Linked DNA regions of Xenopus tropicalis. The protein of the gene in region 1 purifies or fractionates together with the protein of each later gene. This does not show direct contact. Links are inferred from orthologs where the notes say so. Each region holds a gene or a part of one and is shown on either strand. Other genes may lie near its edges.

What was found. The genes of interacting proteins can lie anywhere in the genome.
Region 2: the proteins of apob (region 1) and vcp purify together in Homo sapiens (affinity purification with western blotting, with the first as the bait; 3 studies listed by BioGRID). This does not show direct contact. The link is inferred for Xenopus tropicalis from reciprocal best matches to the Homo sapiens genes APOB and VCP.

The regions. Positions count from the first base shown.
Region 1 is NC_030681.2:143,945,930-143,949,429, forward strand, and holds part of apob (apolipoprotein B-100), read right to left. Parts: intron 3,397-3,500; coding exon 3,241-3,396; intron 2,839-3,240; coding exon 2,714-2,838; intron 1,753-2,713; coding exon 1,667-1,752; intron 1,403-1,666; coding exon 1,186-1,402; intron 886-1,185; coding exon 658-885; intron 1-657. UniProt on the Homo sapiens protein: Apolipoprotein B is a major protein constituent of chylomicrons (apo B-48), LDL (apo B-100) and VLDL (apo B-100). Apo B-100 functions as a recognition signal for the cellular binding and internalization of LDL particles by the apoB/E receptor.
Region 2 is NC_030677.2:212,815,676-212,818,583, reverse strand, and holds the end of vcp (transitional endoplasmic reticulum ATPase), read left to right. Parts: intron 1-20; coding exon 21-329; intron 330-622; coding exon 623-778; intron 779-929; coding exon 930-1,084; intron 1,085-1,621; coding exon 1,622-1,724; 3' UTR 1,725-2,408; downstream 2,409-2,908. UniProt on the Homo sapiens protein: Necessary for the fragmentation of Golgi stacks during mitosis and for their reassembly after mitosis. Involved in the formation of the transitional endoplasmic reticulum (tER).

The DNA.
Region 1 (3,500 bases):
AGTCTGATAAAAAATCAATAAACCATTAATCAAACCCAATAGGACTGTTCTGCCCCAATAAGGATTATTTATATCATAGTTGGGATCGAGTACAGGTACTGTTTTATTATTACAGAGAAAAGGGAATCATTTAACCATGAAATAAACCCAATAGGGCTGTTCTGCCCCCAATAAGGGGTAATTATATCTTAGTTGGGATCAAGTACAGGTACTGTTTTATTATTACAGAGAAAAAGGAAATCAATCTTAAAAATCTGAATTATTTGATTAAAATGGAGTCTATGGGAGACGGGTTTTCCGTAATTCTGAGCTTTCTGGATAATGGGTTTCCGGATAAGGGATCCCATACCTGTACTAGCATTTAATTCTCAATAATAAAAACAATGTTTAAGAATTATAGGCAAACAGACATATTTGTCTGTTAGATAGATAGACAGACAGACAGACAGGCAGATAGATAGACAGACAGACAGGCAGATAGATAGACAGACAGACAGATAGATAGATGATAGATAGATATGATAGATAGATAGATAGATAGATAGATAGATAGATAGATAGATAGATATAGATAGATAGATAGATAGATAGATAGATAGATAGATAGATAGATAGATATGCAAGACTAAATTATTTAGAATTAACAAAAAGTCTTACTTGCTGACTGCATGGCTTAATGCATAGAACGAAGCTCTGCTTGACTGATACTGGGCCATGTTGAGAAGTTCCCTTACACGTTTTGTACATGGAGAAGGTAAAAGGCCCAAACCGAAGGTTACAGTGTCACTTATGACTGGGGATATGTCTCCACTTCTGAGCACCTGAAGGATTCCACCGAAGCATTCAGGGGTCCCACACTGAGTCAATGCTTGCAGAGCAATAGGGCTGAAATTTTAGATATATCACATTAAATTCCATTTAACAAGATTTACATAAACATTTAGTAAAAATAATGATTATGTTCTTATCATGTATAAATATATATGAAATATAATCTACTTTTGAAGCTGTCTTCATGTGCATGCTACATAGGGCAAGTTATAAGAAGCCATACTGCCACCTAGTGGTCAATTTGCTTACAGCACAATTACCACCCAATATTCAACGCAACAAAGTACGTATGTATAACTTTATTTATAAAGCGCTAGTATATAAAATACAAAATATATAACCTCTAGCCAGTACCTGGATAGCTGCATTAGCCTGGGCACAAGGGGTCCTAGTGAGTCGTTATTCAGACCCCTTAAGGCTGTCACAAGCTTGTAAAAGCGACTGGCTCTCTGCTGGTTCTGTTCTGACGTGGATAGTTTCTGTAATTCCTGTAGGTTTTCCAATGCAGCATCTTCATTTTTGGACACTGTTTTTGTAGCCTCCAAGGCAAAGCCTCGTGCCAGACTGGTGTCTGAAACAAAGTTAAAAAAATGATTATATATAAATATATAAATAAAATATATATAAATAAATATATATAAAATAACTTAATTTTGCCCCCCAGTCTTTACCAGGAATTGAACACTCAAAAGACTCAAAGGCTACAGAGAATACTTGTACTGAGTATTGCCAGCTTCTCTCTTGCCTAATACCTAATGCTGAATCTTTTCTGATCTCGTCCCAAAATCCCCTACTAAGCTGTGGCCCAAGTGCTCAAATGGGTTTATTTTTGTACCTGGGTCAAAATCTCTGCTGTTGGTCTTGGCTACATCTTCCAGCTTCAGAGTCTGAGTGACTTTTCCATTTATGCCATACTGGTCTCTAGAGAAGGAAAAGGTTGAGATGCATTAAAAAAATGGCAAGTAGAAAACTTTGTGTATTTATAGGTTACAGCCAAAAATCAAACTTCCCCAGTGTTGGTAAGTAAACCCCAGTGCCTATTGGGACTTGGATTGGCAGCACGGTGGTTCAGTTGGTAGCGCTTCTGTGCTGGGGTCCTGAGTTCAATCCCAGTCAGGGAGCTATCTGCGGGGAGTTTCCTCTGGGTACCCCAGTTTCCTCCCAGATCATACAGGCAGCTTAACTGGCTTCTGACTAAAATAACCATAGTGTGTGAATGCAATAGAGACCTTAGATTGTAAGCTTCGTTGGGACAAGGACTAATTTGAATGAGGAATAATCTCTGTAAAGTGCTGCAGAAATGTGTTGGCGCTATATAAATAACAGGAAAATTAGATGAATTTCTCATTCCCTCTACCTTTCCACATTCTCTTTCTACTATACACTTAACTTCTCTTCTTGCCTGTTTCCTAAGTGTCACCCATGTGCCTCTCTCTAACTAACCAACTACCCCAGAGAGATAGAGAGATAGATAAATAGATAGTTAGATAGAGAGATAGAGATAGATAGATATATAGATAGATAGATAGATGATAGATAGAGAGATAGATAAATAGATAGTTAGATAGAGAGATAGATAGATAGATAGATAGGTAGATAGATAGATGATAGATAGAGAGATAGAGATAGATAGACAGATAGATAGATGATAGATAGATAGATAGATAGATAGATAGATAGATAGATAGATAGATAGATAGATAGAGAGAGATAGATAGATGATAGATAGAGAGATAGATAGATAGATGATAGATAGAGAGATAGATAAATAGATAGATAGATAGATGATTGATAGATAGATATATAGATAGATGATAGATAGATAGATAGATACATGATAGATAAATAGATAGATAGATGATATTACAACTCTATTACTCACCTGTATGAGAAGGGCAGGAAGAGGTGAGTCTCAGCACACGATGCCTCAGTAATATGCCTCCTCTTGGGATCCAGGCTGTACTGACAAACCTGACTGCTGCTGATCAGTGTAGACAATGGACGATTCTGTGAAGAAAACCATACAGGACAATCAGACTTCAATCCAGTGAAATATTTTAATGCCTGATCAATACATACATCAATCCATAGCATTGACTAGCATAGTCATTCTCGTTTTCTTAAAGCCAAGAAACCCATTATTATTATTAACATTTATTTATAAAGCGCCAACATATTCCCCAACGCTGTACAATAAGTGGGTTTCATAGACACAAGGTGTGGGAATGGGCATGACCAGAGTTGTGAGAGGTGTGGCACAGGGTGTTGCTAAGCTAGATTAGGGTAAGCCTCTCTAAATAAATGTGTTTTTAGAGATCTCTTGAAGGCAGAGAGATTGGGAGAAAGTCTGACAGTTTGTGGGAGCGAATTCCAGAGAAGGGGGGCAGCCCTTGCAAAGTCTTGACTTACCATGCCTTTAATGATTGCTAGGGGGTTGACATAATCTCTGATTGGTGTAAACCTGTCACAGGTCTTCAGATTCCTCTTGACCGTAACATCTGTCGGCGTGTTACCCTTTCGGCCTGTGACTTTAATCTCGCTGGTACATTTTCCATACACGGTATCCTGAGCAAGAAACGGGACATTCGGTATTAGTGATTCCCTCTAATGCATTATTGTAGGTGACATTTTATTGCTTTTTGTGCAGGCGTACAGTTAACATTCATCAA
Region 2 (2,908 bases), on another chromosome or scaffold:
CTCTTCCCCTCTGCTCTCAGGCTCGGCAGGCCGCTCCTTGTGTCCTCTTCTTTGATGAATTGGACTCCATTGCCAAGGCCCGAGGCGGCAACATTGGAGATGGTGGTGGAGCCGCCGACAGAGTCATTAACCAGATCCTCACAGAGATGGATGGAATGTCCACAAAGAAGAACGTCTTCATCATTGGAGCCACCAACAGGCCAGATATTATCGACCCCGCCATCTTGCGTCCCGGCCGTCTGGATCAGCTCATTTACATCCCACTGCCCGATGAGAAGTCCCGCATTGCCATCCTGAAGGCCAACCTTAGGAAGTCTCCTGTTGCCAAGGCAAGTCATTACCCAGGAAGGGGGCAGAATGTCCTTTTATTGCCCAACTGGCTTTATTGGTCCCACCCCACACCCAATAAAAGGCATTTAATTGGTTCCTTGTGTGTATATGATAGAGACTTTAGATTACCCATCCATCTTCCAGTCTGTCATTCAAAGCACTGCCTGGTTGCTATGGTCGTGGGAGGCTTTAGCAACCAAGTGCAGCACAAAAAGTTAATTGTTCTGTTTCTGTGGGGCCAAACCTCCCATGCTCCATGTAAGTTACTGACGCCTGCTGCGATTCTAAACAGGATGTGGACCTTGACTTCCTGGCCAAGATGACCAATGGTTTCTCCGGTGCCGATCTGACTGAGATTTGCCAGCGTGCCTGCAAACTGGCCATCAGGGAATCCATTGAGAATGAGATCCGAAGGGAGCGAGAGAGGCAGACCAACCCCTCGGCTATGGTAAGGAGGCGCTCGCTGTGATTGGGGCAGAACATGGGGGGTATTATAGGATGTCTCTGGGGTTTGTGCCTCACTGCGCCCCCCGTAGCCTGGGGGTCCGGGGGTTTCGCCTTCTACTGACCCCTCTCTCTGTTTCCCCCACCGATTGCAGGAAGTGGAAGAAGACGACCCTGTACCGGAAATCCGGAGAGACCACTTTGAAGAAGCCATGCGATTCGCCCGCCGCTCCGTCAGCGATAACGACATTCGCAAATACGAGATGTTCGCACAGACCCTTCAGCAGAGCAGAGGATTCGGCAGCTTCAGGTAACGCTGAGCAGCGAGGGCCGTCTCTTATGCCAAGTGCCAGCGTGGCCCCTTCACTTCAGCTTATTGGTCCCTGTATGGGGCCCTCCAGCCTAACCAATATATGGCCAAAAGTTGTACAGAAAATTCTAGTTAGGAGTTGGGATCAGATTGGTGCGTTGGTGGGTGTCATTTCCCAGTGTGACCTCTCCTTAGGCCTCTGTTATTGCTTGGGGTTCTGATCATACAAATCTGGGCCAGGGGCTGGTACCGGAGACGCTAAGGGTCCACTCTGTGACCTTGCCCAATGGGCAGCTGTATAATGTGTTGCCACCCTAGTCACTAAGGCAAAACACAATATTTTTGCAGCACAAAAGCTTTATCTGTGCTTATTGGTGCAGAGTAACTGCACTTACAGACCCTGGCATGGGGGGTGCGCTGGGCACCCTGATCCCCAATATTAACACTTACGGCACCCTGATCCCCAATATTAACCCTTACGGCACCCAACCGATTGCTTGTATCATCCACATAAACTGCGCATTTGCTCTCTGTCAGATTTCCCGCCGGGGGTCAAGGTGGAGCCGGTCCCAGCCAAGGAGCGGGCGGAGGCAGCGGCGGCAGCCATTTTAACGAGGAAGAAGATGATCTGTATGGTTAAAGAGTCGGCCGACTCGCCCCTCGTTGTACAGCGCAGAAATTCCTACGTTAATGGACACTCAGCTTTTCATTCCCCAGTCCCGGCAGCGTAGATGCACCCCCCCCACTCCTATGATTTGTTACACGGCTGTGAGAAGGGGAGAGCCAAGTCTCTCAGGATTCCGCCTTCAACTCTTACTTTTCTCTCCTTTCCCTCCCCGTCCCCCCCCCCCAAGCGGCCCCTGTGCTCGCGGCGTCGAGGGCGGGGAATGAAAGTTCTGCCCCTCCCACCGAGTGACTTTGGACTCCTTTTACCACCTGTGGGGGGAGGATCCTGCAGATCTGGTTCTGACTCCTCCAGTTTCAGCTGTTTTGCCTTCAACTGTTCATCCAAAGTGGGTTCTGTTGGGTTCTGGTTCTGTTTGGGGGAATCGATGCCAAGATTAACCCTTTGGCTGCCACCGTGCCTGGGGAGCTTTGTAGCCGGGCACCCTGGCAGTGAAAGGGTTAATAGAGCGGCAGCGGGGCCCCAGGGTGTTGCAGGGTTCTCCAGCTGTGATTGGGTCGCTCCCTCTCCTGTGGGTATGAGAAAAGCAGAATAAAAGAAATTAAACATTCTCTGAGGGTTTTTTTCCTTTCATTTTTTTCATGTTGGATTGAAATACGGAGGCTCGAGCGTCTCGACAATAAACTGACTGATCTCTAATGCGACTGTCTCTTTGCTCTTTGTAATTGAGTGGGGGGGGGGGTTATTGTATGTCTCCTCACCTGTGGGTATATAGGTGGCACCAGAGCACCACTCGGACCCCCCATACAGGGTAGGGTGTAATAGGAGTGGCTACTGGGCACCCACCTGGGTCGGGTCTGTCCTGCTGGGGAACATGGGCCCCCACTGTCTTTGTGAGAGCTTCCACTGGGGGGGGGGGGGGAGAGAGAGAGGCAGACAGGCAAGTGTGGGCAAGGCAATACTCTGAACCCAATTCTGCAGGGATCTGGCCAGCACTTGTGGGGTTGATGCCATACTCTGAACCCATTTCTGTGGTGATCTCGCTGGCACGTGTGGGGTTAACGCCATGCACTGAACCCATTTCTGCGGTGATCTTGCCGGCATGTCTGGGTCATTCTGAGGGGGGTGATTTATCTTCTGAATCAGAACGCTGGACCCAAATTTACATGCAGTTTTAGTGGCCGAGTCGTGATTGGATT